5 linked regions of the Macaca mulatta genome follow. The protein of the gene in region 2 interacts with the protein of the main gene of each other region in a pairwise test. Links are inferred from orthologs where the notes say so. Each region holds a gene or a part of one and is shown on either strand. Other genes may lie near its edges. The genes, in order: PRICKLE1, UTP14C, TEX11, GOLGA2 and myomegalin.

Region 1 (3,513 bases), on a different chromosome or scaffold from region 2:
GTTTAGCGTCTTACAAAACATAATTAGAAACCTGAAACCTAAGCAGTTTGGCTGAGAGGACCCACTCTCAGAAGGCAGCACTGCCTCAGTTGGAAAAATTGCTTAGGAAATACGGGGGACTGAGTGGGGGTCTTGAGCCATTTTTCATGGGGCATAGTAGTGGGCAAGGCAGATGGCCTGATCCCTGACACTTCCTTCTACAACTTATAGGATGTCACAAGGATTTGCGGGCAAGTTGGAAAGTCAACACATCAACTTTCTTGAGAACTTTTCTAAGGAATTGGCTATAGAGAGGCACCTTTTAAAGGCTCCTGGAAATAAACTAGCTTTGGTGGCATGTTCTGAAATTCTGAGCTGGCAAAGGGACTACTACCAAATTATATAGCTCTAAATTTTGAATTTCAGGGGGCCTGGGGGCTGGGGGTTGGTGACAGTAGTAATTTGGTTACTTTCTCTGGGCCCAGCTGTGTGTTAACAGCATTCAGTAAAAGCTCTGGGTCAGAGTAAGAGACATGCATTCAGGTTTTAGATGTCTTTGTTTTTTCTTATATTGTCCACAGCAGCCATTGTTTGATGTCCTGTGCCTGAGAAACCAGGCTTTAAACTCTATGCCTTTGGAGATGGAGCCCAAAATGAGCAAGCTGGCCTTTGGCTGTCAGAGAAGTTCCACATCAGATGATGACTCTGGCTGTGCGTTGGAGGAGTATGCCTGGGTTCCCCCGGGCCTGAGACCAGAGCAGGTAGGAACGTCATCATCCTATATTTACTCTTTGTTTTTCAGTGTGAGTTCAGACTTCAGAACATTATTTTGCAAATGGATAGAACATCACTGAGATGCTGGAATACCACCCTCCTCAGTCCTTATTCTTCTTTGTATGGCTTTGAAGTTTTACTTTTGAAGGTCATATTTAGTTTCTCAATGGAAGTTTCCAGTCTCGTCGTACCCCATGGTTCCAGAAGCCTCATAAGGATCCCATTTTTGCTCTAATGAATGAAATCCGGAGTACTACATATGCATTGGTTATATGTATTTCGGATGAATCCCTCTTGAGAGTGAGAAGAATTTACCTTTTGAAAAACTTCTGTGACAACAAAAAGGCAATAAAAGAAAAAAGTTTCCATGCCAGTTCTCAGCAATGCTTTTGCTTTGGAAGCGAGATGGCAAGCTATCAGAAACCCTCTGAAGTGTTACTGCTTAGACATTTGACCTTTGATAACTTTGCATATAAAAGAGCCTGTCACTTACACCAGAGATTGGGAAAAAAAATTAGAGAGTTAATTTTATGCTTTGTTTGTGTTGTTATTTTAAGGAAGATGAGAACATTCCATATGCCTATTTAATTTTCCCAATATCTTTACAATGATTAACTTGTTGAAAATCACGTGATATTATTAAAAGAGCAAAGGCATCATTTGAAAATAAAGTTGACAGTGGGGTGTGTGGTTGCTTTGCTCTGAGTTAGGGTTCTGTTTCCTGTAGGGGGGGACATTTTTTGAGAATAGGGTATCCTTATTTATCCATGGCATAGCACAGTACCTGGCACGCATGTAGCTGATATTCAGTAAGTGTTTATAACTGTAAAAAGCTTCTAGAGCTGATAGAATGGGGAGAGGGTGGAGTACTGGTGAAGCAGTTAGAAAAGCAGTATTTGGACAAACTACTTAGAGAGAATCCCTTCTTACATCTAGGGTGGGTAGGTTTTGTGTGGTACTAAGGTATTGAAGTAGACAGGCCCTAAATTCCTGTCTCATGTCTTTTTTTTTTTTCATTTATTCCTTCTCAGCTCTGCAGTATCCTTTGCAGTACTCATTAAGGGATGTTCCTTTAAAGATATCAGAACACAAACAGGCAGAAATTAAGTTTTCCTTTCAGAATGAGCAAAGTACAGCTCAATATGGCTTCTCTCCAATTTCCCTGGGGAGACTGACTTCAGGTATTCAGAAAATAGCATACATGGAAGCAAAGAAAGCTGATGTTTGAGAGCACCTGATAAAGAAGAGTTTACAACATTTAGCTAAACAGCTTTTGTCTTTGTGATGTGTAAAATTCAGAGAGCAAATTCAGTGTGTTTGTGTACTGGGTGGATTTGGGGCCATGTCACATAATGTGGTATGGTAATTTGCACAATTCACCCAGGACTCTCTCTCTTGCTGATCTCTTAGCTGACCCGTTGGAAGATTGGCTGAGGAAGAGTAGTCTTTTTTTTTTTTTTTTTTTTTTTTGAGATGGAGTCTTCCTCTGTCCCCCAGGCTGGAGTGCAGTGGCGCGATCTCGGCTCACTGCCACCTCCGCCTCCTGGGTTCAAGCGATTCTCCTGCCTCAGCCTCCCGAGTAGCTAGGATTACAGGTGTGCACCACCACACCCAGCTAATTTTTGTAGTTTTAGTAGAGACAGGGTTTCACCACGTTGGCCAGGCTGGTCTCAAACTCCTGACCTCAGGTGATCCACCTGCCTCGGCCTCCCGGAGTGCTGGGATGACAGGCGTGAGCCACAGCACCAGGAAGAGTAGTCTTAAATGTGCATATTTTATGGTGCATAATTTATGATGTCCCTAATTTTCACTACAAATTACATTCCTGAAGAGCAATTTAGCAGCTGGGTGCTAGTTATCTGAAGGTTTGCAGTTCTGCTGAGTTGGCTCAGCTGGTCTTCTCATTAGCTACAAGAGGCCAAACCCTGTACCTAGGGAAAGGTAACTTTTAAAGATTAAGTGAGCTGAAATGCTCAGTTCTGTATACTGATGCCATTCTCACTGTCTCTTATGCAGATCCAGCTCTATTTTGCTTGCTTACCAGAGGAAAAGGTTCCTTACGTTAACAGCCCTGGAGAGAAGCATCGGATTAAACAGCTTTTGTACCAGTTACCACCACATGATAATGAGGTAAAATAGCCGGAAGAAGGCTAATTAGAAAAAAGAAAAAAATGCATGAGAAGCATTGAGATGCTGCTCATAAACCCCATATCCTCACTGGTGAGGGCTCTCTTTTGCCTTTCTTTAGTTAAAATTTGGCCAGAGAATACAGCTTTCCATTCTTTGAGAGAAGAGAGAAAAGAGTATCAGTGTAATCAACTTAACACAAGTTGGTTTTTATAGTGTTTGCAGCCACCCACCAATGATCAGGAACCTACAAATGCCGGAGATTTCCCTGCCCCTGCATCCAGAGTGAATGCTTTATGGTCATTCAGGCCTGCAGTTGAGTTGAGTGCATGTAGAATGGAGAGTAAAAGTGGCAGTTAACAAGTTTAAACCTTTTGTGGAAAGGTTAATGTCCTATTTTTTTTTTAATGTCTGTGCTGATAAGGGTTTTCAATTAAACATTTCTTATTTAAAAAAAAAAAAAAAAGACTATTCCTTCACGCTGCATTTCCCTTTTTCTAGAGAGGCTGTAAAATTCGGATATGGTGTCATTTTAAAATCGTGGAGGTGTGACACAGGCGAGCTAAACTTACTATTTTATTTCCTGAAACCCTAACTCTGGAAGTAGAGAACTGGTGAGAAAGACTGTGCACT
Region 2 (4,162 bases):
CCTGACTTCCAGGCTGAGATGCGGTACTGTCAAGCGATAACGAGACCCACACAAATGTGCTGATAGCACTAAACAAAAACAATTTTCACCAGTACCGGTATGGAAAGGACTGTTGGCAGCACCTTGGCCTCTACTGCCCTACACACACCTATAAAGCATCAGTCAGTCCCACCTCTTGACTGTATGCTTTGAGAACATGATTACACAAGTCTGTTTAAAATTTCTTTTTAAAGGAAATCATTAGGTATATTCAAAAGGGTCATCCACTGTATTGTTTAGAATGTAAATGTACCAGCATTTTTCTGTGTTCTAATGTCTGATCAATTCTAAAATGCTAGTCAATTAATGGTCATCCATTTTCTTTTTTTAAAAATGTGGCTCAACTACATGCAATGTGCTGAGCCAGTTCTGGAATCCACCCTGTAGCAGAGTAAAACTGGACCAAAGGAAGTGGAATCAGAACTCCTAGCTGTCACTTTTCCAGCTACTCAACCTACAGAGTTTTTCTTCAACTCTTTACTGTGACGTGTGGTGATTTGTTTTGGATTCCACTGTATGACAGACAGGTCTGACCTTGAGGAAGACCGGTAGCCCACATCCTCTGCTTTTATGGGCTTAATGATATGACCTGGCTTGGTGATGACCTTGGGAGTAGTCAGCTTTTGGAAAGCCCTCTGGGTGTTCCATGTGGATCCTACAGGGGTCTGGATGGTCCTTTCAAATTGCCGATGGTGGGTAAATGGATATGGAAGCACTTGTACCTGATGAGCTGCTGCGTGGATGTTGCGCTTCTCACTGATAATCACATTTGGCAAATTCTTATCTTTTCTTGGAGGACCCTCAGGGGCTTTGAGAAACTGGCGTCTTTTCTTGGTACTAGGCTTTAGGCCCACACCACCCCACTCGCCCCAGCCAGGTAGTGTCAGGTCCACGTCCTTTGGCTTACTCGCCTCCACAGCTTCTCTCTTCTCTTTCAAGAAATTTCTGATGACATCATCCCCAGCAAAAGCTTCCTTTATCATCTGCCTTTGGTCTCTCTCCTCTTCATCTTCCAGCTCCTCTATTGTTGTGGGAACTGCCAAAGACCTCACGGAAGGAGACTGTGTAGTTAGGAAGTTCTGTACGTTGATCAGTTGCTCCTTCTCTTTCTTCTCCTTAGGGGCATCAGGCCGATTATTTGGGGTCCTCTCTGACTGCTGCCCTTCTAACACAGGTCTGGGAAGCTCCTTATTTTGAAAACAATCTTCTTTTCCCAGCTCTTCTAGCTCTTCCACAGTTTGTACTCTCTCTGGCCTCTGTAGCAACAGGGGCGCCTCTTCTTCTGGGGCAGGTTCCTCTCTCTGGACCTGGGGAACAGTCCCCTCTGAACTTGCTTTTTGCTTCCTGGACTGATGGTTTTCCTTCAATTTCTGAGATAGTGCCCTCAATTCAGACAGCACCTCCTGGCTGCTAGAATCTTTTGTTTCTTGAATGCCTGCTGGCTCAGCATCCTGGTTGAGCTCAGATCTTTTTCTAAGGGATCGCCTCTCCTCAAAGTCTCTCAACAAAATTTCTTCCTCTGCCACTGGTCTTTCTCCCTCACTTTCAGAAACCTCATGGGTCGCAGGCTCTGGCAGTTGCTCAGGGTCCTCCTGGGTTGCAGCCTCTCTGGTGTCACTGGTGCAGCTTCTGAGCATCCAGGGATTCGGTCCTTCCACATTCATCTGGACTTCATTCACTACATGGGGGACAAGGAGTTCTTCCACTTCTTCTGTGCCTCCCTCCTCTTCCTCAATCTCAGAGGCTACCTGGAGTTTCTGTGTCAGTTCTTTGTTCTTGGCCAACTGTTCCTGCATAGCTTGGCGAGCCTCCAGGTCATATTTTGCCATAATTGCCTTTGACTTGGCCCATTTCCCACTGTTTTGGTGCTTAAGGCTCATTCTTTCCATCATTCTGGCATTTTCAAATTTTTCCAGTTCTTCCAATGCCACAGTTGGATTAACCTTCTGCAGCTGCTCCAACTCTTTTGAGGCTTTCCTGGCCTTTCCTTTCTTCACGACTTTGTGATACTTTTTACTTTTGATTTTCTTCTCTCTTCGAGCCTTGGCCTCATAGTAGGACTGCAGAGCCCGAGCCCTTTGAAGCTCTGCTCGGTGCATCTTTGCCTCTTCCAGACTCATGGCTCGGAGAGAGGCCTTTTCCATGGGAGTCAGTAAAGGGTCTGTTACTGGCTGCTTGTTCTTATGGAGGAGGTTAAAAATTTCCTGCTCCAGGGGAGTTCTTGCCTTCCAGCCACTGAGCGCATGTTCAATGGGAGCAATGGCTGGCTGCTCCTTCCCCAGGGGAAAAGCCAGCTGCTCTGCCTGCTGGTTCTTCAGGACGATAGGGTCCCATTTAGAGAGGACTTGTGAGGTTTTACCGAATGCTACTTCTCTGTGGATCTGTTCAATGTTTTCTTTGTTAAGAGGTAACTCCACCACCTTCTTTGATTTGACTCTATTCAGTTGCTTTTTCACAGTGGCCAAAGAAGAAGTAGTTTTAACAGGCTCAAGGAGATCTGCAAGGACCAGCTTTTCTCCTGATCCTTCAGAACTGACATTGAACTCTGACACTTTCAGACTAGCCTCAGACCTCTCAGCCAATTTCCGCCTATTCTTTCCATCAAGGGAACTGATTGCTTCCAGAAGCTTTTGATGCTTTCTCTCTCCATCACTGTCCCCCTCATCTTCATTCTCACTCAAGGGGCAGTTTTTTGGCAAATCCACTAATTCTTCCTGTTGGCTCAAAGCCAGAAGGCTCTCCGCAACCCGGTTCACATTCATCTCAGCAGCCAGCTTCTCTCATGTGTACCAAGAATGGAAGCTGAAGGCTAGTCATCCATTTTCTTTTCAACACTTCCTTTTATTCTAAAAGGAAATTTTCTTGTCTGTTTTCTAAAGTAAAATGATTTGACAAATGAGATTGAATTTAGAAAAATATTTACATATGAAGGTGTTTAACCAGTTTATATAAAATATCTTTAATTTTCCAGATATGGCATTACTTAAATAACTTTTCCACAGATGATAGGAATGTCACTTCAAATTCCTGATCAGAGAATCTGCTTACAGATGCACGAGCACTTTTTCTGATTTGGAGTCTCTTTTCTGCAGACATGGAAAGAATGTGAGCGATAGTTTCAGCATAGTCTTCTTCACTCTCAGCCAGAAAGCCAGTTATATCTCCTTCGTGAGGAACGACAATGTCAAGCTTTGGGCCCCCTGAATTGTGTGCAAGGATAATTGTGCCAGCTGCCATACACTCCACAACTCCTGAGAAAAAAACAAAAATCATGTAGTATTTTAAGTTTTTGAGTGTGTTCATAAGAATGAGGATGAACAGAAATCTTCAAAAATTTTAAGGGACTTATGAGAAACTTAATTGTCTATATGTCTAGACATTTGCTTATTTAACTTCTATAGTACAAAATAAAATAATTTTAAGTTTTTTAGTTTTCATAGCTTCATAATAATACAATTTTTTTTTTTTTTTTTTTTTTTTTTGGAGAGAGAGGGTCTCACTATGTTGCCCAGGCTGGCCTCTAACTCCTAGCCTCAAGTGGTCCTCCCATCTTGGCCTCCCAAAGTGCTGGGATTTACCAGCGTGAGCTACCACACCCAGCCTGCTGCTTTATTTTTAGTTAAAATAGACAAGTAGATGGAAGACTAACCTATTAAAAAAGATATATTGCAGATAATTAAAAAAGACTAGAGAATGTTAGCAAGATGGTAGAATATTAACAGGTATTAGAAAAACAAAAGGAGTAAAAAGATATCAAAAACAATTTTAATAGTTCAAATTACATTAGCAGAAAAAATAAAAAATGCGAATCACCTAAGTGAAGCATACTATTGCCGTGCTTATGTTACTGCCTGGATTTCTGGCATATTTGAGACTACTGCGTGCCCAACAACAGTGCTGAACTAAATGAAAGTTGTGGTTAGTTTCTGCCAAATGATACACATGAAATATAAATTAATCTAGCCAGCCTTTCTTAGCTGTATTCCTAGGAGAATTAAGCCCTTCAGAGAATGATTTAAGTGACTGCTTTCCCAATTATCTGAAGGATGGTACAGAGCTGGTATCATCCTGGATGTATAGGAGAGAAATTAAATAATTCCAAATGTTTCTAAACCAGTGGTGA
Region 3 (3,513 bases), on a different chromosome or scaffold from region 2:
GAGACTGTAATGATGTTTTCCAGACAAAAAAGTCACACAACATCTAGTTTTCCCCATGTCTGGACACAGAAAACAAAAAAGTCTCCAATAGATAATATTTTATACAGCACTTATCAGTGCTTAAAGTGCTTAGAAAAATAATGAGGCAAACATAGCAAAATGTTAACATTTGTTAAATTTGGGTGCTGTGTGCCTGTAATCCCAGCTACTCATGAAGCTGAGGTGGAGAATCGTTTGAGCCCAGGAGTTTGAATCCAGCCTGGGCAACAACACGAGACTCCATCTCTAAAAATAAAACAAATACATCTGGGTGGTGGATACGTTGGTGTTTGTTATATTAACCTCTGTACTTTTTTGTACATTTGGAATATTATTTAGTGATGAAACAAAGAAAGAAAGGTACTTAGCAGTTTTATTATATACACAGATTCACACAAAGAAGCAACTTTTCCCCTTTTTTTTTCTCCTTTGGGAAAAGCAAGCTCCTTGACTTTGCTAAATGATTATTGGTCTGTAATACAACTCTCAGCATGGAGCTGTCCACAGGAGTGCCCCCAGATCATCCCCAGATCATCTCTTAAGTTGGGTCAATTAAGAATGATTGGTTACTTATGAGGCATTGACTATAGTTCTTTTGGCTATCAAAAAGGCTGGATTAAGTTTTGAATTGTATTTACTAACCTGTATTGTGATACATCAATTGACTCTTCCTTTTTGTAGAGCAATAAGGCCTTTTTCAAGGCCTTGAGAGCAATGAAAGGATAGTGTGCAGGCTTTTCCATTGCTATTACTAGAGGAAGAAAAGGAAAAAGGTTGTGAACATCATAATGTCACCCATCACAGTTTTCATCCCAGGCTACCACTTGCTTTCTCTAATGAAACTGGGCTGAAACAGATGAACAAAAATAAACAACAATGAATTTTATAAATGATAAATCTACAGTTGCTTTTGGAAATAGCTTCTATTTTCTGGGTAGAGTAGCACGGTGGGATTACCAGGTAACATCCTTTATTCAGCAAACATCAACAGAAAACCTACTGTTTCTATGACCTTGCACTCAGTCATACAGGTGAAGCAATAATCTTATGAATGAGAGTCAAGGAAGGGCACACTAAGAAGGAAACAGAAAGCAGATCAGTAAAAGGGCACTAATCAAAACAGGTTTGTACTAAAATGTCCTATTTTTATCTGATACTAAAAATAGGAAACACTTGACAAGGGAGTATCAGAGGTAACTAACCCTAAGACTTCCACATGCATTTAACAGATTTTTAGAATTGGAGTTCCGTTATACAAGGAGCAGTGGTCACTGTCACATGTCTATAAAGTATATATCATCTGCTCCATGGCTCTAGGAATTCTGTCTTGGCAAGACCAAGGAAAGGCAAATGTGACTCTTGTGCACTTGGAGCTACCTAATATTTTTATTAACCACACACATGCTCCTGAAGAGGGTGAGAGACAAAAAGGGAAGAAAATTAGGCTGTTTCCTGCAGTGTACTCCCAAAGAGGCTCTAAGCCCCCAAACCCACTTAAAGTTCAGCCCGAAATTTGAGAGTGGCAGTTGTGTTAAAAAATATTACCAGTATTTCTCTGTACATTTCAGCAAACTGCTAAGATTGCATCACTTTTGATTGTTGAAGCATTCAGTTATTTCTAGCTAGCCCAGAAAAACTTTCTAAAGTTTGAGCTCCCCCTATTGTGTAGTTACACAATTAAATTCCACACAGAAAAAATTTGAGCACCTATTAGGAGCAATGAACGTCGCTAGGGTTTGTAAGTACAAATTAAATAATTATTGTTTATGACCCTAAAGAGATTATAATCTCATAGAGTGAAGAAGATAAATGCACAAATGATCATAATACAAAATAGTCTAAGAATGGCGTTAGAGAAGGAGAAACAAAGTGCTATGAGGAAAAATTATTTCCTACCTGGAGGTAAGAAAGAGGAGTAAAGAGAAGAAAAAAAGTCATACGATAGAAATGGCCACCAGCCTTACAAAAGCATAAATATAGCTCTTACTTGCAATTGTTTCAAATGTTTTAGTTTCTAAATGAGGCAGCTCCCACACTGATTCCAGGAAGCTTTCCAGTAATGGATCATTCAATTTGGCTCTAACTTCAAACTCGTACAGCAGAAGCAATTTCTCACATGAATCATTTGAGAAGGTCCCTAAGAAAGAGGCAAAAATGCAACATTCTTTGTGATTATATTTTATTATTCTCTTTGGTTGTAATCTCACTAACTGGAGAGGTTTTCCTTCTAAGAAAAATTAATTTTACTTACAATTTGAAGGTCAACTTCACTGCTGTAGACAGATTCTAAATTTTATTTTTGGTTTTTTATTTGATTCTAACACATTTTAAATCTACAAGCTCAACACTACTTCCAACATTCTGTAGTGCATTCACTAGAACTACCTATATTTTCTCAAACAATTGCCACGATGCTTCTAATCAGCCTGAGAAAACCCGCAGATATTATTGATTCTAATTCAAATCCAATGTTTACTTGCTTCTTGTGAACTTTCAACTGGGCTGGTGCTCACCCTAATGGTTGAGTTAACCAGAAGATACAGTGCTGTATAAACTAACAGTGATTTTATTTTAAGTAGAATAGAGGAGAGTTTCCAAACTGTTTCATTAGTCGACAGAATTTCTTGGGCATCAGCATAGAAAGAATTTCATGTCAGGTGTCATACACCAAACTACGTGAGACAGTTTTCATTCATCCTTCTTGGTAGATTGAACATTGAAAAATGTTTTGAGGTATGACATATAGACAACAAACTGAAAGAAGTACTCTAACCTTAAACAGCTTGACGAGTTTTTACATGTGTTTAAACCCGTGTAATAACTACCTAGATTGTGATAACAAACACTTAAAACTATACAGAAGGTTCCTTTGTGCTCCTTTCCGGTCAATACCATCCAACCAAGGTAGCAACTATCTTTACTTTTCTGCATCTATGTTTTGCATCTATTTTCATGAGGAATCTTGGTCTGCAGTATCTTACATTGTCTTTGTCTACTACTGGTATCAGGATAATAGTCTTATAAGATGAACTGGGAATTGTGCCCTCCTTTCTGGATGAGTTTATATAGAGTTGGTATTACATCTTCTTTAAATGTTTGGTAGAATTCTTCAGTGCAGTTTTCTTTGTTGGAAGATTTTAAACTATGAATTTAATTAATAGGCATAGGAGTATATATTTCTTCTTGAGGGAGCTATGGTAGTTTGTGACTTTCAAGAAATTTGTACATTTCACCTAAAATTCTAAATTCATGGACATAAAAGTGTTCAAAATATTCTCTTACTACCTTTTAAAATGTCTGTAGGATCTCTAGTGAGGTCTCCACATCTATTCCTGATATTGTTAATTTGTGCTTGATTTGCCTAGCTAGAGGTTTATCAATTGTATTGTTTCAAAAGAAAAAAAACTTTTGGTTTCATTGACTTTATCTACTGTTTTCTGTTTTAAATTTTAATGATTTGTGCTCTATTTTTAT
Region 4 (3,513 bases), on a different chromosome or scaffold from region 2:
TTATCAGGGACCCTGTGGGGATGGGGTGGAATCTTGGGGGGTGAGCCTTCTTCCCCAGGCTGGGAGCGGGTGAGACGAGACTGAGGCCTCTACATTTGAGTGCCCCCCAAACCCAGCTGTCATGTTGTGAGCAAACAAAGAAATCACGTTACTTCTTCCAACTGATCCGTAATTTCTTGGTTCTGTTGTTTCTGTGGGGAAGAGTCAAAGGAAGGTGACTGAGGGTGGCCCCCTCAACCCTATTCCCCAGACCAGGAAGGGGTAGGCAGGAGCCAGGAATGGATTTTAAAGGCAAAGTTCTCAGACCCAATGGGAACACGAACTGCTCAACTCTCCTCAGGCTCCCAAGGAAAGGGGATTTGTGTCTTTGTTGGTTTTTGCCCACAACCACAGAACTGAAAGTCTGAATCTGGATTCTCTTGAAAGGACAGTAACATAAACCTCTAGAGATGGAGTGTGAGAAAAGCCCACCCTCTGCCAGTTTGTGATTTAGAAAGGTGTATTCATTCAACAAACATTTGCTGAGCACATATAGGCCAGGTACAGTTCTTAATAGCAGGGATATCAGACAGAAAAAGACAGACAGGAGCCCTTGGCCCTGAGGTTTACATTCTAGTGGGCCTTTAAATCTTCAACGCTCAGAGCTAAGAGACCTTTGATACTCTCTAACTCTACCTCCTCAGGAAATGCAAGCCCAAGAAGGAGAGGTGGCTTGTCCCGAATCCAAGAGCAAATTAAGGACTGAGTCAGGGTGGAAATACGGGGCTCCTGACAACCAGTCAGGCTAGTGCTTCCCCAAGAGGCAACAATCCCAGGGCATGTGTGGCAAGGACTCGAGCAGGGGTGTCTAGAGAAGAGAGAGTAGGCAAAGAGGGCAGCAACAGAAGAGCCATGCTGCATGCTCCGTGCTCTGGGGTCCCTCCAGCTGAGGCCTGGGCCCCCCAGCTCCCCATTCGCCCTTGGCACCAGGGGCCCCCTGCCCCTTTCTTCAGGGTCCCAAGGGGAAACTGGAGCCCAGGATTAGCAGCGTGGAATCAGGGGACCCCACTGGACTCTTACCAATTTCTCTATCGTGATATTGAGTTGTTTGTTTGTTACATAGCTGGAGTCCAGGGCTACCGCTAGCTGTTGGTACCGGCTCTGAGGCGCATGCAGAGAGGAGGAGTTGGAGGAGGATTGGGGGGAGAGGTAGAGAGAGCAATCATTAGGGTTGGGGGGTGTGTGGGCTGTCTCAGCTGGCAGAGGGGCACCCAGCCCCCGCTATGGGAGGAGGTTGGAGGGCTGGCCTGCAGGGTCACTGGGCCACGGCCCAGGGCCTCTTACCTCCAGATCCTTCAGGTTAGCAGATGATGCAGGGCCCTCCCCATTCACACATGTCGTAGACTATAAGAGACGAGAGTGCACATGGAGATGTTCTGTCCCCTCAGTGTCTAAGCCCTCTGACTTCCTTTCTTCCCCAGCAATTGGCAACATTTTCTCTTCTAACTTGGACCCTTTGTCCCGTAACCCCTTTGTGCCAACTTCTCTCATGGTTCTTATTTCCCCACCATCCTTCCCTCCCGAGCACCTCTCATCCAGTGCTTCTGCAGCAGGATAAAATGATGCAACCAGTCACAGGGTCCAACTCCTTCATGTGCACAACTTCAAGGGAGAAAGCTCAGGGAAAAGCCGACTTCCTCAACATTGCCCAGCACATTGGCTGGTCCAGGATCTTCCCTCTCTTGTGAATCCCTGCCTCAGTTTCTTTCTATCATAGTTCCCTTCCCCCCGCACCCCACTCTGGGCCTCAATTCCTGAGGTACCTCACAAACAAGACCATTGAGCTGTTGGGAGAGTTGTCGCAGGCTCTCGGTTGATGAGAAAGTCCTAGGGATGGAGACACAGGGGTCAGGGGTGCAGGTGGCTCAATGGGAAAGAAGGTCATGGGCAGTGGCCTCCCTGACTCTCTCGGCCTAGAGACTGCTGCCCCAACAGGAGACACTCACTTAGTTTCATCCATGAGATTAGGGACATTGTCAGCATCATGATTCTGTGTGGGAAGAAACGTATGAGATGGTCATTCAATGTCTGCTAAGAATCACCCAGGACAGGGTGAGTCAAGCTCCCAAACTCATTCCAACAATCTTCCATATCCCCAGACCTCAAGAAAAAGCCTAGTCTGAGCCTTCCCCCAGCCCATTCCCCAGGAAGAGCCCTTGGCCCTAGGGAACAAGCTACCTGTGAAAAGAGAAGATAATCCATAGTAGGTACAGGAGGGGAGTAGGCAGAGGGGGAGGAGGCACAAACCTGAGATACCGCCATGCTAGTGAGACTGGCACCAGGGGAAGGGACACCGCCAGGTAACACAGTGTCATCAGACGGTTGTAGAGAATCAGCATTGTCCTTGGGTGTCTGTCACAGAACAGAGCAGGGGGTTAGGGGGCCATGCGGGATAGAAGGTGCCTCAGTGCCATGAACACAAGGGTGTGGAACAGGTAGGACAGGTGTTGCTGCAGTCAGTGACAGTCACACATGCTAGGAGCCACTCAGGGGTGTGGATATGGTTGCCCAGGCCTTGGGCTGCTAGGCAGCATTTCAGATGGCCAAAGCTCAAAGCAGGGGCTGCACGGCCTCCTTCATGAACACGAGGACCTCGCTCTCTCTGGAGCTCAGCAAAAGACAGCAGCAGGCACTGACCTGTGGCAGCCACAGCAGGTGGGAGGAAGGTGTGCCAAAGTCAGGGAGGAGAAAGGCACTGTTCTTCCAGAAGGCCAGTCTGTGCTGCAGAGTGACCCTAACTGGGCCCCTAGTGGGCAGAGGATGGTGATGAGGAAGTAGTTGTCTGGGCAATGTAGCTATCTGCCTGCTTCTCTCCTCCTTTCCTCCCTTCCCTTCTCCCCTGCAGTGGCACAATCATAGCTCACTGCAGCTTCCACCTCCTGGGCTCAAGCAATGCTCCCACCTCAGCCTCCCTAGTAGCGGAGATTACAGGAGCACACCACCATGCTCAGCTAATTTTTATAGAGATGTGGTCTCGCCATCTTGCCCAGGCTGGTCTCAAAGTCCTGGGCTCAAGTGATCCTCCCACCTTGGTCTCCCAAAGTGTTGAGATTACAAGTGTGAGCCATTGAACCTGGCCTATTGGCTGTGTTTCTGATTCAGACCTTTCCAGGAAAAAAAAAAAAAATTACCCAACTAGAAGCCTCTCCCCAACTATCTGGAGGTAAAAGGAGAATAAACCATGGCTACCACCCCCACCCCAACCTCTTACCTCCAAAAACATCTACCCAACCAAGAAACCACCCAAGAAAACAGAGGTAAGACATCTGCCCTATGGCTCCTGGCAACTTGGAAGTTATGGGGCCTCTTTCCTGGGAATTGTACCTGGGGACAATCCTAGGATTCAGAACTTGGGGTCACATGGAGCCTCTCCCTCGCCCCCAACTGGACCTACCTGCTTGATCAGAGCCCCACCCGGCCTCTCTCGAGGCTCTGGCCTTACTCTTGACCCAAGCCTCTGGTTCTAGAGGTCTT
Region 5 (4,313 bases), on a different chromosome or scaffold from region 2:
GGGTTGGGGAGACGAGTTTATTTCCCATTCATCCTGGCCCAACTAATTTTAGACCCTAATAAGAAAACACCATGTTTAATTTGTAACACCTATGTCTGGTCCAGAAATACTGTAAAGCCCAAATTCAGCTGAGGCTCCACTGAAAGGAAAAGCAAAAGAAAAGAAGTACATACATTTTATACAAATGAAAACGCACTGACTTTTTACCTTTCATGACACTTTCATCTCTGCTGTTTCTCATCTATGCTGCTACTCATAATTTTGTGTAAATTTAAAAACTTTTCTCCTGTTTTCTGCTTAGGTTCTTATTGTGAAAGAAAGTATACATACCACAGAACTACTTTCCAAAAGTTTCATGTGACCATCAACAATGTTACTTATCAAGCTCTAAATTTCTGGAATGATGTTGACCAGTAGCAGGCTTTCTAAAAATGCCTTCTAGATCACATCTACCTTTGTGACAGTATCGCTAAATAAGTTGTATCAAGAGGAACATGCCAGTATGTTTCACAAAGTTAACTGAACCTAGCATTTACTGTTGCTATAGAAACAAACTACCATAGCTGATTTTAAAAGGTTGGTATAGAATCAATTGGGCAGACATGAATGGTTCAAATTAAGCAACTGCCATCCTCTAGTCATTAAGAATTCAAGACTATAATGAATGAAACTCTCCTCTGATCCAATAATGGGTTAATCCTTTCTTAATATCAAATATCTTCCAGTAGAACTCAGCAGAGTTCTGGCTGTGAACAGTTTATGCCTTAACGTTTTGAGTGACAATACTGTACTTGAATACTTGAATTCCTGTCTCTTTTATGAATGAGTCATCACTAATCCTCAAATGAACTATTCATTATAATAAATATTGTCCAGATGTTATAATACTTTACTGGTGGATTAATAGGTTTCCCCCAAACCTTTTACCTTATGCTCTAATCATTTACAGGCATTTTGCGGATGAAAGCTTCAATGCTCTGGGAAGAACTAACTAGAGAACTAACTGCCTTACAGAAAGCCATTGGGAGGAAACGTCTATAAATCTGAAAACAAGAACAAATTTTAAAAGTTGTTAAAAAAAAAAAAAAAAAAAGGAGATAAGAGGAAAAGTTCTAGTGCCAGAAATGAGATTAAATGTCTTCTTTTTACAGGATAAAAGTGAAGTGGGAATCTTTACCTTTTTGTTTTAAAAGGTATACAATTTTGATAATGGGAAGGCCAACAGATTTTACAAAGACTGTGAAAAGCAAATTATCTGAGTACGAATCACGTTTACTAAATGAGACACAGAAAAGGTGCAGCAAAAATGGGCTCATGACTAATTTTCTCAAGTCTAGAATATTACTAACCTCCACCTAGACCGAAATCATGTGAAGCCAGAGGCCAGCTAGCTATAATCAGAAAGGCACTGTGTAGCCGTTTTGTATACCTGGACCCGGAGCGGCAAATAATCTTCACAGAGATCATCCCACAGCTCCTGCAGGTCTGAAAGCTCCAAGGGGTAACTCACAGGTGTCTTGTAAAGGGGTTTCAAAGACCTGTTAAGGAACCCGGAACTAACTCCATCTGTCATGCTATGGCCAGGCTTGGCTCCAGGTGGGCTGGATTTCACTGGAATCGGAAGCCTGCTCCCTCGGGGGCTCTGGATGGGCTTATAATCAAGACCTTTAATCATGCTAAGAGCTAACTCCAGCTTGTGATTACACCCATGCGGCGGAGCCTGATCATCTGAACAACAGTCACACTTTCCAAGTTCCTTTGCACTTCTCTCAGTCTCCTCATCTTTCTGTTGTGGAGGGCTAGCGTGGACGCTTGCATCCAAAGATTCCACAGAGGAACCCGGCGTCTCTTCCTCCATGCTTTCTCCATCTGGGGGTACCTTTGTGCTTGCTAAGTCGGGTGGCCCAACCTCAGACAACGCTGGTTCTTCAGTGCAAATGCTGGTCGACCACCTGCTAGAAGGGCCACAGGAGATACTTCTGGCCACCTTTCGAGGTACCTTACAAATGGCTTCATAGTCAGAATCAGCAACCCGCAAAGCTGCACAACCACGGCATCTCCTGGGTCGGTTTCCAGGGCCTTCCGAACCATGGCAACTGTGTGGCTCCTGGATCTGATCCTCATTCTCCACCCAGCACTCAAACCCTGAATAGGCGAAGTCCTCCTGGAGCAGTGCAGAGTATCTCGCATCAGGTAAGACAGACATGTCAACCGTCCCATTCCCCGCCTTGACCTCCGGGCCAGAGTCATCGTTATTCTTCCGATACATACTGGCAATGCAGAACTTGAGGCGATCTTTCTCCAGTAGCAGCTTTTGCAAGCGCTCAATAGAAAGAGCTTCGATCCGGGCAATAACCGTGTCGAATCGATAGATTCGATCAAGCATGAAAGCACACTTGCTGCAAGCGAACTCGGCTTTGCCATCGCGGGGGACATCCTTGCCCAGGACGTGCGAAAGCAGAACCTGGAGGTTCAGCTTGGACGCTGTGTGGAAGATCCAGCGCCGCTGGTTTCCACACAGCTCTCGGGCACAGATCCTGCAAATCTCCTTCATCTTCCCTCCTAGCGGGTGCCAAGCTTCCTGAGGCGGCGGCGGCGGCGGCTACTGGATGACCACTCAATGGCTCTTCGCCGCGCTCTGTCTCCCGCCTCAGTGGTCTCCAGTCAGCATGGCACAGCCCAGTGGGGTCCTCACTCTGCAGGGGTGCACCCCTACCCCGTGCGCCGGCTCCGGGTACCACAGCCGTCAGCCCCGCCCCTTGGGCAGGGGGCGGGCGTGGAAACGTCTAAGAGGATGCTGAGTGACAGAGGCGCAGGCCGCGCTCCGACCCTGCCATGTCTCTCCCCAGCTGTCTCTCCCGCCAGCCGCCGCGTCCTCAACGTCCTACCCTTTTAACAGACTGGGCTCCCGGAGCAGCAGCGGCCGGCCGCGCAGACTCAAAGGCTCGGGGATTGAGGATCAGATTTCAAGATGGCGCCAGCGGCTCCACGTCTGCGGCTTCCACAAGGCTCCTCTGGGAGCTGTAGTCCGCTCAGCGGGCTCCCGGCTCTGCGCATGCGGGGTGGCCAGCACGCCCCTCGCCCCCACTCCGGTTGCGCACCTGGCTCACTGGGAGTGCAGAGCAGAAAGCACTACTGGCGCGGACCACAGCCAGCCGCTTTTATCTGCTAAGAGCTCACCTGAAAGGCGCACCAGTGCCCTCAAGGATCCTCCCGCCTCTGCAGGATGTCCCGAGGCTCCTCCTCGCGGGGAGGAGAAGGCCGAATCCCCTCCCCCTGGATCCTCGGACAGTGCCACGTCCTCCGGCTGCCAGCCGGGCAGCGCCGCTAGGTACCGCTGCGCGCCGCCGCCGCCTCCAGCCAGCAGCCCCACCTCTCCCGGCCTCGCCCCGCCTGGGTTCTAAGGCCCTGAGACTGCGAGGCGGGCGGGGGAAGGCTTGGTAACGGAGGGGCGGGTGGGGCGGGGCCGTGCAACCCTTACCTCGACTCTGAACCGGAATGTCCAGAAAAGAGTAGAGGACTGTTTCTTCCTTGATGTGGGTGGGGGAGGGTTAGCACCCTTGGGGGACTTTGCCCTACTTTCGGTAAAAAAGAGCACTGAGCAGTCACCTGAGAAAGCGTCCTGCAAATACAATGTGAATCTGGTTAACCAAGATCTTGAAGATAGTAGAAGGGAAATGTGCTTTTTCAAGGATGCAGCCAGCCGCGAGTAGATTACCGCCACTGAAGTCTCTCCCTCAGGTAGAGGGCATTCATTATTTTAGGGCAGGGGAGGGTAGACAAACACTAGCGCAAAAGACGGAGCTCCTTTCGGCAAGAGCTGGAGTGTCTGGGAATGCAGCTCGCGCCAGAAAGGACTGGGAACTTCGCTGACTTCGGTGAGAACCCTGTCTTACTCAGCACTGTACAGTGGTAGGTCCTCCACCCTTGGGTCTAAAACTTGGATTGCACACAAAGAGGAGGGAAGCTAGAGCCCTGACTAGGTGGGATGCAGGTACCTCCGGCCATTTTTTTTTTTTGAGTGCAGTGGCGCGATCTCGGCTCACTGCAACCTTCGCCTCCCGGGCTCACGCCATTCTCCTGCCTCAGCCTCCCGAGCAGCTGGGACTACAGGCGCCCGCCACCACGCCCGGCTAATTTTTCATATTTTTTTAGTAGAGACGGGGTTTCACCGTGTTAGCTAGGATGGTCTTGATCTTCTGAGCTCCTGATCCGCCCGCCTGGGCCTCCCGAAGTGCTGGGATTACAGGCTTAAGCCACCGCGCCCTCCGGCCATTTTTAATAAAGAATTCTCTTCCTGACTTGAGAGGCAT

What was found.
Region 1: the proteins of UTP14C (region 2) and PRICKLE1 interact in a two-hybrid assay, tested with the Homo sapiens proteins (2 studies listed by BioGRID and IntAct). The two-hybrid records come from large-scale screens. The link is inferred for Macaca mulatta from reciprocal best matches to the Homo sapiens genes UTP14C and PRICKLE1.
Region 3: the proteins of UTP14C (region 2) and TEX11 interact in binary tests that used the Homo sapiens proteins (3 or more experiments, as listed by UniProt). The two-hybrid records come from large-scale screens. The link is inferred for Macaca mulatta from reciprocal best matches to the Homo sapiens genes UTP14C and TEX11.
Region 4: the proteins of UTP14C (region 2) and GOLGA2 interact in binary tests that used the Homo sapiens proteins (3 or more experiments, as listed by UniProt). The two-hybrid records come from large-scale screens. The link is inferred for Macaca mulatta from reciprocal best matches to the Homo sapiens genes UTP14C and GOLGA2.
Region 5: the proteins of UTP14C (region 2) and myomegalin interact in a two-hybrid assay, tested with the Homo sapiens proteins (2 studies listed by BioGRID and IntAct). The two-hybrid records come from large-scale screens. The link is inferred for Macaca mulatta from reciprocal best matches to the Homo sapiens genes UTP14C and PDE4DIP.

The regions. Positions count from the first base shown.
Region 1 is NC_133416.1:49,413,956-49,417,468, reverse strand, and holds part of PRICKLE1 (prickle-like protein 1), read left to right. Parts: intron 1-560; 5' UTR 561-608; coding exon 609-740; intron 741-2,769; coding exon 2,770-2,883; intron 2,884-3,513. UniProt on the Homo sapiens protein: Involved in the planar cell polarity pathway that controls convergent extension during gastrulation and neural tube closure.
Region 2 is NC_133422.1:31,264,735-31,268,896, reverse strand, and holds the start of UTP14C (U3 small nucleolar RNA-associated protein 14 homolog C), read right to left. Parts: upstream 2,802-4,162; coding exon 489-2,801; 3' UTR 1-488. Other genes in the region: ALG11 (GDP-Man:Man(3)GlcNAc(2)-PP-Dol alpha-1,2-mannosyltransferase), read right to left, coding at 3,019-3,290. UniProt on the Homo sapiens protein: Essential for spermatogenesis. May be required specifically for ribosome biogenesis and hence protein synthesis during male meiosis.
Region 3 is NC_133426.1:77,070,268-77,073,780, forward strand, and holds part of TEX11 (testis-expressed protein 11), read right to left. Parts: intron 2,177-3,513; coding exon 2,027-2,176; intron 791-2,026; coding exon 682-790; intron 1-681. UniProt on the Homo sapiens protein: Regulator of crossing-over during meiosis. Involved in initiation and/or maintenance of chromosome synapsis and formation of crossovers.
Region 4 is NC_133420.1:19,418,375-19,421,887, reverse strand, and holds part of GOLGA2 (golgin subfamily A member 2), read right to left. Parts: intron 2,392-3,513; coding exon 2,287-2,391; intron 2,030-2,286; coding exon 1,986-2,029; intron 1,867-1,985; coding exon 1,803-1,866; intron 1,384-1,802; coding exon 1,324-1,383; intron 1,141-1,323; coding exon 1,060-1,140; intron 192-1,059; coding exon 153-191; intron 1-152. UniProt on the Homo sapiens protein: Peripheral membrane component of the cis-Golgi stack that acts as a membrane skeleton that maintains the structure of the Golgi apparatus, and as a vesicle thether that facilitates vesicle fusion to the Golgi membrane.
Region 5 is NC_133406.1:119,949,124-119,953,436, forward strand, and holds the start of myomegalin, read right to left. Parts: upstream 2,803-4,313; 5' UTR 2,746-2,802; coding exon of another isoform or gene 2,670-2,745; 5' UTR 2,555-2,669; coding exon 1,430-2,554; intron 1-1,429. Other genes in the region: uncharacterized protein LOC144338663, read left to right, coding at 2,670-2,745, 2,803-3,331. UniProt on the Homo sapiens protein: Functions as an anchor sequestering components of the cAMP-dependent pathway to Golgi and/or centrosomes.